Mus musculus: one gene and its partner. The protein of the gene in region 2 purifies or fractionates together with the protein of the main gene of each other region. This does not show direct contact. Links are inferred from orthologs where the notes say so. Each region holds a gene or a part of one and is shown on either strand. Other genes may lie near its edges.

Region 1 (5,562 bases), on a different chromosome or scaffold from region 2:
CACCACTACAGGGAGCTCCCAGCTGAGGTGCGCCAGACACTAGGCCAACTTCCTGCTGGCTTCATTCAGTACTTCACACAGCGATTCCCCAGGCTGTTGCTGCACACTCACCGTGCCATGAGGACCTGCGCCTCTGAGAGCCTCTTCCTGCCCTACTACCCACCAGCTCTGGAAGCCAGGAGGCCAGATGCCACAAAGAGCTGAGACATCCAGAGGGTCCAAAGGAGGACCAAGGAGTTGAGCCTGTGGCTCAGTCTAGTCTCAGGCGTGACAGAAAAGATGGGCAGCGGTCTAAGGGACTCAGGCTGTTAATGCAAAAAAAAAAAAAAAAAACCAAAAACCTCTGGGGGCAGGGGACTCTTAAGAAATACAAGACCAAAAAGAGAAAGAGAGAGAGAGATGTACACATTTTAATATATATAAAGCTAAGGAAAGAGCAGTCCCAATTTAATAGAAACATTTATACAATTCATACAGTGGGCTGAGCGAGGGCAGGGAAGCAGATGTAAACCCACACCCAGACATGTACAAAATAACTTACACACAGCAACCCCTTCAAAGGGGGCCCTGCTCCTGCCCAGCCCCCAGGGCCAGGGGCACTGAACAGCAGCCCCCAGGAGCCTACAGTGCAGGCTCAGAGCTAGCAGAGTGAAGGGGCACCAGTCCGAAGGAGAGAGACCTAGGAGGCCTTGAGGCGGTTGCTGGCGGAGCGCGAGCTCAGCAGCTTGTCTACCATGGTGCGGGCGTAGCGGAGGCGGCTGGCCAGCTCCTTGCAGCAGCCATACTCCTCCAGGAGGCTCAGGCGGTACGTTTGGAAGTCCCTCTTCTCGTTGATGTAGGTCACCGCTGCCATCAGGGGGCACAGGATAAGTTTGGTGTGGTCCTAGGAGGGAGCGAGTGAAGAGCTCAACAGGTGCCCAGGGGGAGGGCAAAGGGGAGGAAGGCGCCCCGCTGGTGAGGGAGACAGCACTGCCACCCCCAGGCACAGCGTCCTGCCCCAGCACACCTGGAAGAAGTTAATCTGCACGGTGCCGTTGCTGAGGTGCAGGATGATGGCGCTGCGTGTGCGGAACCACGTTCGTAGGTAGGGCAGCCGGGCCAGCTCGTCGCCTTCCCGGGGTGTGATGTTGGCCCCTGCCTTCAGCAGGTGCTCACTCATGTAATTGCGGAAATAGTTGAGGAGAGTGATCTAGTTTGAAAAGTTGGGGGAGGGATTCCAGAATGAGGGCCTGGCCCCGAGGCAGCCCCCTACCCTGCCACGCTCCCCCTCGACAGCCAGGACTCACCTTCTTCATCAAGGAATTGGGATGGGAGCTCACAGTGAGATAGGACTCCGTGCCATCACGCTCTATGTACTGCAGGCTGTCCCCGTCATTGTAGAGAATCAGGCGTGTTGAGTCATTAAAAAGCACCCCCACACTGTTGTCACACAGCTGATACCCTGGTGGTAAGTGGAGGGTTATCTCAGAAAGGCAGGAGGAGACAGGCAAAGGCCTTGGAAGAACTCAGTAGAACTCAGTAGTACAATGCTTGCCTACCATGCAGAAGACCTGAATTTTAATTCTTCCCACGCCCCGCCCCCCAGCTACACCATCCCCTGCCCATTCCACATTCTGGGACACCTACCAAGGCCATACTTGTCCGAATAGTCCACCCACTTGCTGACCCAGAAGATGGGGATGCAGGCAGGATCCTCAGCCTCCTCTGGGGTAGAAACAGAACACTGGTTATGGTTAGGTCAGCCCCGTCGCCTTTCCTTTCAAGCAGCCCTCCCCATGGCACCCCATGAAACCTGAGGAGGAGCCTGACAGTACAAACCTGACACCCAAATGGAAAACTGTAGCCCAGGATGCCAAGGCCCACTTCATCACGAGTGAGCCCCTGTACTCTAGGCCTACTGTAGCCATGAGCTGTGGGAGGTGCGGACAGGGAAAGAGACCCACAGGCTTCAGAAGAGCCCGGGTTCCAACCACAGGGATGAAGAAGAAGCACAGGCTACAGGCCCCTCCATCATTCGCCCTGGGGGTGGTAGAAGGCCTAGTATCCCAGACTAAAGTGACGAGAGACAGTTGGCTGACAACCCCTGCCTGCGATGCTAGAACAGCTAGAAAACTGTACACAAGTCCCTGATGCAAAAACACAAATGTGCTGGGAAGAAATGCTATAGAGAATTAATTAAGTCAGGTTTAGAAGTGATGGCAGCGGGTGTCAGGGCAGGGACACTGGGTACAAAAGCCCTAAAGCTGGAGCTGATCTGAGTCTCTGGAGGAATTAATTCCCTGAGCAATATGTGCAGTGATGCAGAGATGGCCTACCAGCCACCTACAGGACAAGATGGTGCAGAAGTAGGCAGAAGAAACACCAAGGGGGGCCGTGGGTGTCAGGCTAACTCACCTGGATTTTGATCTATAAGAAACGGGCAAAGCAAAGGTCACGTGGGTCTGGGCCCTCACCAGTGCTCTGCTGACTGAGCAGCCCTGCCTTCCCCAGGCGCGCAGACCTCTCTGTAGCACTCACCTTGCCGCACCAGCCCGCGCTCCGAGGGCTTGGAGGCGTTGACACTGGTCAGCTGCTGTAGCAAGTCACTAAGGTGGCACTCAATGGCCTCATTTGTCTCCCGGACCACCGGTTCCTCTTTCTCCCGGGGACGGTCAGGCAGGGGGTTCTCCACACCTGAGAAGAAAACTCGGTCACTGGACAGACACAAAACTAGGGGAAGGAGCACAGGACTTTGGCGACAACTACAACTTTTTCACTATCAGCGATGTGGGGACACAGTCAGCACCAGTTTGAGTGGCAGGCATTGTTATACTGAGAGGTCTCTAACCCAACAGCCTAGCTTCCCAGGACAGCAGCTGCTGCTGTCACTCAGGGAGGCCATCGGAAGGCACCAATGACTCAAAACTGCACCAACTCAAGAGTGAAGGGCACTGTGAGCACCCAGGAAGTTGGAAAGACGGGTGGATTCCTTTAAATAAAGCCCCAGAAGCCTTTCACTGTAACCCTCTGCTTTTGTGCGCTTACAAACCGCCCAGGTCTGATGACATGCACACTAAAGCTTTGAGTTGGCTACGGTGGCCAGGGGGGAGCTTTACACTCGACTGGCTTGTTTCCCCAGACCAGCATGTGCTAGTTCTCCTGTGAGACAGCACAATTTTTTTTCTTAAAATTTCAATTAAAAAAAAATAAACCACCATGCTACATTAAGAACTTAAGTGTGAAATAAAATATTCAGGATCTGATTTTTGTTTGTTTGTTTTTTTGTTTTCCGAGACAGGATTTCTCTGTGTAGTCCTGGCTGTCCTGGAACTCACTTTGTAGACCAGGCTGGCCTCGAACTCAGAAATCTGCCTGCCTCTGCCTCCCAAGTGTTGGGATTAAAGGCGTGCGCCACCACCGCCTGGCTCAGGATCTGATTTTAAAACTAGCCAAAAAGGGGCTGGAGGACGGCTCAGCAGCTAAGAGCACTTGCTGGTCTTGCCAAAGACCTGGGTTTGGTTCCCAGAACCCACGTGGTGGCTCATAATCATGTCTAACTCCAGTTCCAGGGGATCCAAAAACATCTTCTGGCCTCTGTGGTTATCACACATGTACCTGGTGCACATACATACATACATGCATGACACCCATACACAGTTAAAAAATAAAACCTAGCAAAAATGAGTGTTTATAGACTAGAGTATGTAAAAAGCAAGCCTGTCTAAATTTAGCTATTGGAAATGAAGGAGAAATGAATGCCCCAGGGACAGATAATGCAGGTGGTTCCCTGCCTTTGGGTGAGTGTGGAGGCTGTCTACAGAACAGTTTCTTTACTATACTTATAAGACAGCGGCATTCTAACCTCCACCGCCGAGGAAGTTAGGAATCCCCAGGTCCAGCACTGCGGGGAAGGACAGGGAGCTACCCTCCGTACATACACGTCCAACATGACTTAGATTCCCCACTGCTCATGAACTAGGCATGGTAGCCCATCCCTGACTGTTAGCCTAGCACTCAGGATATAGAGGCAGAAGGAGCACAGGTTCAAAGTTGTCCTTGGCTACTGTGAGACCCAAGCAGTTCGGGCCACATGAGACATGGTCTCAAAAAGGGAAACAAAATTGAAATTACAGTAATAATTGCTACCACGAAGACTGGTGGTCCCTACAGTTTCAAACAACTTCCTGCAAGCTATTTATTAACTACCAAGGAAACAATGTCTGTGGGAGAGACACGGTCTCCCTGACACACTGAGAAGGGCAAAGCCCTCCACAGCATTCTTGCTCAGAATGCAGAACCTCACTGCACTCCCGAGGAAGCATCAAATCCAATAGGATATCAACTCATCAGCACCCTCTAAACGTGTCAAGGTCACAAGACATAAGGCAAACCCAGAGACTGCCACAGGCTGGAGGAAACTAAGGAGCCAAGGTCGCTAACTGCCATGTGAGGTGCTGACTTGCATTCTGGGGGTCTAATGGGGATCTATCTGGTTGATCGATTAGGGGGATTATCTTCTAGCTAACACTTCAGTTTTGGCAATTATGCTATGCTTTTAAGGGAGATGCTGACCGTGGAAGCAGCTGGGTGAAGGGTACACAGGAATTCAACTTTATTGTTTTAAAAAATTTTGTATAGCACTACAGTTATTCCAAAATAAACCAAGTCATTGAGTCAGGGGTGAAGTGAAGCACTCAGTCTGAAATCCCAGCACTTGGGAGGAACTCAGGGTTAACCTGGACAACACAAGACCCTGTCTCAAAGCACCAAAAACGAAACTAAGCCATCCCAAGCCACTTGCCTAAAAATGGAAATCTAACTGAAACAGATGAACTGAGAATTTTATACTGAATACTAGTTTTATACTAAATCCACACAGAGAACAAGCTATCCTCAAAGACACAGCTCTTAATGAAATATATTAAGGACAAATAAGACTTGATGATGGCCGGGTGTGCTGGCGCACGCCTTTAATCCCAGCACTTGGGAGGCAGAGGCAGGCGGATTTCTGAGTTTGAGGCCAGCCTGGTCTACAGAGTGAGTTCCAGGACAACCAGGGCTACACAGAGAAATCCTGTCTCGAAAAACCAAAAAAAAAAAAAAAAAAAGACTTGATGATGATGATGATAAATGCAGTGGCACAGTCCTGTAAGCCCAGCACTGTGGATGGTGAGGCAGGGGGATTTCAAACCTGAGTCTGTGTGGTGATAGTCTGTCTCAAAAGAAAGAGAGAGAGGGGGGGAGAGAGAGAGGAGAGAGGGGAAGGAGGGAGTGACAGTAGAAAACAGAAAAGCAGATACTGCTGCCAGGCAAGTGGCTCACACCTTTGCTCTCTCAAGCACTTGGGAGGCAGAGGCAGGTGGACTTCTGAGTTCAAGGCATCAACAGAGTGTGAGTGAACTGGGAGGACATTCACCCCTCTCTACCTTTTCATAAGTGTGGACAATGGTGAAGACATATTAACACATGAATCAGAGAAGCTCTGATCTCTAAAGAGCTCCAGAAACAAAAGTTATCTAAGCAGGGGCAAGGGATGGTAAAGTTTGGAAAAAGACGTATACTTTACTGCAAGAGTAAAAGGGC
Region 2 (5,636 bases):
AGATTGTAGCAACAGCCTCCAGAAAAAGGGGAAGATGAGGAAGAAGCAGAGATTCGGGTCTTTACCAGACTGACGCTGAAGCGCGTGCATTTCAGCTCATCCAGGGTCTGCTTCTGGAGCTGCTCCGTGATCAGGGTGATCATGTTTCTGCCCAGGACTTGGCTTGCACACTTTGGAGCGATTGGTGGATGTCTTCCTTGTCGTTCTCCTGGATCTCACTCATGAGCCTCCTTCTGCCACTGCAGCACCGTTCTAGCACCATTGGGACCTCCCTCTCCAGTCATGCCTGCTGTGCCTGCCAATTAGAGGGGTCAGCCCCAAGTAACATTAGAGATGGACAAGGCACAGTACACACACACAGCAGTGTCCCTATGCCAGGCCTCGGGCAGACTTCGTTAATTGATCATAGCACTTTCCTGGTAAGCTTAAAGACAGGCTCAGAAACACTCTGAACTTGGCACTCTAGATACCCAGTCAAATAAACTGGTGCTGGCAAGCAAAGTGAAACCCACTTACCGTTTCTAACCTGGCTTAAGTTCTGTTGTGTCTACCTAGAATATCAGCACCACTTAGAAAACAGCTCAAATGAGAGCTGTCCAAATGGTTATTTCCATACTGGATGAACACAATATTCTCTTTATCTTACAGCCAGAAGCCAAGAAAAAACAAAAACAAAAACAAAAAACAAACAAACAGAAAAACCCTTCTAAACCACAGGGGTTTAGTACAGAGAGAGGAGCAAGGGCTGGGCTTTCAGTTTCAGGTCAGATTAAAGAGGATTTTAAATGAACAGCTGATACATCACTCTTTCCTAGTAGATGCTGCTGGTTATTCTCTTATCCAATGAGAAAGAATGGTCAGTTCCAATCACATTTCAACTCTACGGATATTAAAAACAACTCATGACTTCATCCAACAAAGTTGTGTTGATTTTCATGATCCCACTTGAAGACCATGGATTCTTCCTTAAGACTGAAGCCAACTGACTTTTATCTGAGAGCAGCTTCTAAACCCCACACAACTGCCTACCTACGGGGCCTTGGCCTTGCTCTGAGGAAGAAGGAAGGGAGGTTAGTGATGCCTTTGTTCTACCTCTTCCCATCAGTGACCAACAGGCAAGGCCAGAGTATGTGGAGCATTAAACTGGCACAGAGAACAGTCAGCCAAGAAAGCTAACTCTTGGGCAGACACCTGTAATCCCAGCCCTCGGGAGATGAAAGCAAACAGAAGCTCAACAGTTCGTGAAGGCCAGCCCGGGAGGAAAAAAAGCTGCCACTATCACCTAATCCTTAATCCAATTTACTCAGGCAAGTTTGGCTAGCCATATAACATTCCTGCTTACCCATATGTAAAATGGGTATAACGATCTTACTCTATCACAGGAATGAGGCCACATGAAATATCAAAATAGCTTACCAACTGGCCTATATAAAATAGTTCACACAGACTGTTGTTTCTTCTCTCTCCCTTTGCTGTTCTTCCAAGCCTTGGTGTGCCTAAAGAGGTGGTATCATTAGGATGAAGAAAGCTATGCATCTTTCTCTGGCTGGAGGCCAACCTCCGTCACTTGCTCACTAAGTTGAAGCCTAAGGGGTCTTCCTCCTGTGATGTTTTGGAGAAGCCCACCCACTGCAAAAACGAGGGTGTCACTTCAGAGGCACATGACAAAGAGCAAAGGTCCTGTGGATGTGGATGGAGTTCTTTGGAAGGACGGCGCAGCCGTCAATCATCACTCTAGCTAACTATGGTTTCCATGCGTAATTATCCCTACCGTTCCGAACAAAGTTCCAGCTTCCTGAGAACCAACTCCCTTCAGCTGCTTCCCCTGGGTTCTGGTGGGAGAAGCTAAAGCTTGAATCACTTCTGCTCCCATTCTAACTCTGTCCTCAAAAATGATGAACAAGAAGGGAACCTAAGTGGAGAATCTTACCCTAGAGAGACCCCAGGCTCCAGGCTGACCAGCCATGAGGAGCAGGGAGTGAAAAACACTTGCAAGCTTTTCAGTGAGGCAAACAGCAAACTCCCAGCCCTCTCTAGCAGCAGCTGAAGAGGGTGATTTCTCTTTTTCTGCATTTTAATTGTCGGGATGTGGCCACACACAGCGGTAATTGGAACAATGCAACTACCACCACGCAACTGATACTCTCAGCCTGAGTTTCCTAAAACAGGCCAGGCTGAGAGGGGCAACAGAACGGAAGCCATAAGGAATCAAACCAGGACACAAAAGAAGGTAAACCAGCTCTGCAAGGGGCCTCCTCGTTCTCAAGCAGACATTTACAAAGTGTGAGAAGCTCTCTCTGGCAGCCTTCCTTCCCTTCCATTTTGTGTATCTGAGGGGTAGACAGCTCTCAACATTTCACTAAACAAGTTAAAACTTCTCAGCTGAACGTTACTGGCACAAGGCTCAGCCCTTCACTGAGCAAGAAGGCCGCTCGGCCCTCCCAGTAACCCCACCAGGCCTAACTCTCTGCCCAGAATCTCCCTCCACCACAACCCCCCAAGATGACGACTAGACCCCCCCACTCCTATTGGATGGAAGCAACTCCTGACACTTGCGTTTCTGGGATACTTAGGTTGTGTTGAAACCTGGACGACCTAAGATCCAGTCAGGCCAAGGGAAAAGAAAGTCGCAAATCCCCTGGGGACATTCCCCCCAGGTCTCCCGGTCCCACACCTCTGGGAGAAACTGAAGGAAAACATAAGCGAGGCAGGGAGATGCAAGAAAAAGGTAAATGGATATTAGAATGCTCTTCTTCCATATGGCTCTCGTGAAGACAGGGGTGACAAGTGGGGTGCACCCATCCCCCACCGCGACGAAAAAGCAAACGACTAGGCTCCCTCTAATCCTCAACCTCTCCCTCTGTTGCCCTGCCTGTCCCCGCGGGGTGGGGCATGAGGCATCTACTGGCCCCCGGGGGGGCACTCCAGGGTTTGCTCAGAGAGACTGTCGCTCTCTTCTTTCCATTCTGGTTCCCCATCTGACCGCGGGAAGCGAACTCAGGACGCAGGGGATGGGGAGGGTCTGGGACATGCACTCCGCCACCCCCTCCCCCACCGGGTCCCGGGTTCTCCCGCCGAGACGGCCTAGGAGGCTCCGCCGCACCAGCGGCTGGACTGGGGGATGGGAGAGAGGGAGGGACGGTCGCGGTGCCCGCCCCGAGGCCCCAGCACCACCTGCCCTCCGCTACCTACCGCGGCTCCTACAGCTCCATGGGCCGCGGCCGGAGCAGCTCTGAGCGCTCCGTTCGCCCCACGGTGCCCTTAAAAGGCGCTGGCAAGAACCAACCGGTCTTTGAGGAGAGTATGGGGGATCGCGTCTATTCACAGAATCCCCCGGAACCTGCCGAAGAGGCCCAAGCCCTACGTGGTGTCTCCCTTAATCTTTTTCAGAATAGCGCCGTCGGAAAGGAGCCTAGAGCTGTGGTTTGGGGACCGGAGTGTCTCCTCACTAACTAATCACCCCCTCCAAAATAACGTGGAAAGTGGACAGGCCCAGTTGGAAGCATATCACGAAGCCCGTAGGGGAAGCCATGTCGGATAAAGGTAAACAAAGCCATTGTCCACTCCTTCCACTAAACCATCCTCCCAACTGAACTATCTGACTCAGCTCAGGCCACGAAACAATATTAGCCACAGTCTTCTCACCTGGCCTCCTTTCCCTTCCGACACAGCCACCTTTCTGCAAGCATCCCCCCACCTTCCCCCGGCAAGGACTGATCCTCGGCGTGAAGGCTGCTGGGAAATGTAGTCCAAGCGCCGGTCAAGGCCTGCTCTGAGTAGCCGGAGCCCCTCTTCTAGCTGCCAGATCTGCTAGAGCTTTTATAAACCTGAGATTTATAACGGTTGCGGAGCTGTGTCCCCTTGCTCTGTAATTTGTTCTCACCCAAAACACTTTGTAAAGCTGAGGCGGACCCGAGGCTGTTCACTCCCTCCCTTCCCTTTCCTCCTTACCGCCCCCCCCCCAGCAGGATGAGGTAATGGGATTGTGATTATGACATCATAGGTGGCTCAGTTGCGGGGTGTATGGGGGGGTGGTGGTGGAGCAGGATGGTTCTGGCTGGACCACTTAAGACAGAAGGAGGGAGGAAGCTGACATATGAGGAACCGATTTCAACAGTACTGTATTTCCTCTTCAGGAACTGGAAACCACATTTTTATTAAGTCTGTACCATTATCACCACCTCCCACCTCAACCAAAGTTTTAAGTTTTTTTTCAATAGGCTGGGTGTTGATGTCAGTAGGGAAGAAAGCCCATAGAGGCTTCTGGCTCTTCTGTAAATTGGAGGTCTCAGATGGGAAAAATTTTTTTCAATAAATGCTCTCATGCTCAGATCACTGTAGGGCAGAGTTTCAGATTCCTTTCTTTAGTCGGATAGAAAGTGGTAATTCCAGTCATTTCATTATTACAGTTGTAGCAGCAAATCCCTAAAAGTCAAGGGTTTACTCTAAGTGTTTTGAAGCCCCCTCATCTGGGATAGGGAAACAGGTAGACTTAGTGATAGAGAACTTCATCTTTGAGCTGGGCCGGGGAGGAAGCAGGAAGCTTCAAGTATGCAAACTGAAAAAGAAGAATTAAAAAATGTATTACAAAGTTGAGGTGGAAGCCGGGCGTGGTGGCGCACGCCTTTAATTCCAGCACTTGGGAGGCAGAGGCAGGCGGATTTCTGAGTTCGAGGCCAGCCTGGTCTACAAAGTGAGTTCCAGGACAGCCAGGGCTACACAGAGAAACCCTGTCTCGAAAAAAGAAAAAAAAAAAAAAAAAAAAAACAAAGTTGAGGTGGGAAGTCCGGGCCAGTAGTACACGTTTAAAATTCTGGTACTTTGGAGGCAAAGTCAAGAAGACTGCCTCTGCCCTCCAGGTCAGCCAGTCAGCATTTCAACTGCAGAGGCCACTCAAGCATTACACAGCAGAACCTAAAACAAAATTAAAGGTGTCTGTGTGGAGACTTATTTTGAGTTGCGTGTTTTCCTTTGACAAAGAGTAAAGGAGACATGGTTTCCTACAACTGCACTGTGCTGCATACTTTGCTTGGTTATTTTTGAGACAGGGTCTCCTACAGCTCTGGCTGGGCTCAATCCTACTATGTAGCTAGAGATGTCCTTAAACTCTGTTCTTCCTGCGTCAGCTCCCTACATGCTGGGATTACAGCCATGAATTGCCCATGTCTAGTTACACTATATACTTTAAGTAAACATATTGCTGTTTTCCTTTCAATCACCAAACGGAAACTGTCAACAAACCCCCTGAAAGGCTAAATGACTGTTCAAGTTATAGCAAAATTGGAGACTCTTAACCCCTTGGTTTGGGTTTTTGTTTCGCTTTGTTTTGAGTCAGGTTCTCACATGAACCCTGGCTGTCCAGAAACTTACTCTATAGACCAGACTAGCCTCCTGTTCACTGAGCTCCTGGCTCTGCCTCCCCAGTGCTGAGATTATGGGCATGGACTACCTTGCTCCATTTTTATTACTAACCATGCTTACTAAAGTTAAATGGTTGTGTGAAAGTTAAGTGGGCACTGGCTTATTTGCAAAACGTTGAGAGGAACGGAGTCAGGCTTTTTGGTTCAAAGTTATAATCACACTTTGAATCAAGGGTTCAACACTTGAGACTCTGAAGGAGGGTTGCCATGAACTCA

What was found. The genes of interacting proteins can lie anywhere in the genome.
Region 1: the proteins of Fam53c (region 2) and Plk1 purify together in Homo sapiens (affinity purification with mass spectrometry; 3 studies listed by BioGRID and IntAct, counting the BioPlex papers as one, with this or other methods). This does not show direct contact. The link is inferred for Mus musculus from reciprocal best matches to the Homo sapiens genes FAM53C and PLK1.

What each region holds. Positions count from the first base shown.
Region 1 is NC_000073.6:122,164,708-122,170,269, reverse strand, and holds the end of Plk1 (serine/threonine-protein kinase PLK1), read right to left. Parts: intron 2,674-5,562; coding exon 2,518-2,673; intron 1,705-2,517; coding exon 1,627-1,704; intron 1,442-1,626; coding exon 1,287-1,441; intron 1,190-1,286; coding exon 1,007-1,189; intron 884-1,006; coding exon 680-883; 3' UTR 386-679; downstream 1-385. Other genes in the region: Ern2 (serine/threonine-protein kinase/endoribonuclease IRE2), read left to right, coding at 1-204. UniProt on the Homo sapiens protein: Serine/threonine-protein kinase that performs several important functions throughout M phase of the cell cycle, including the regulation of centrosome maturation and spindle assembly, the removal of cohesins from chromosome arms, the inactivation of anaphase-promoting complex/cyclosome (APC/C) inhibitors, and the regulation of mitotic exit and cytokinesis.
Region 2 is NC_000084.6:34,757,154-34,762,789, reverse strand, and holds the start of Fam53c (protein FAM53C), read right to left. Parts: upstream 3,464-5,636; 5' UTR 3,193-3,463; exon of another isoform or gene 1,813-3,192; intron 296-1,812; 5' UTR 144-295; coding exon 66-143; intron 1-65.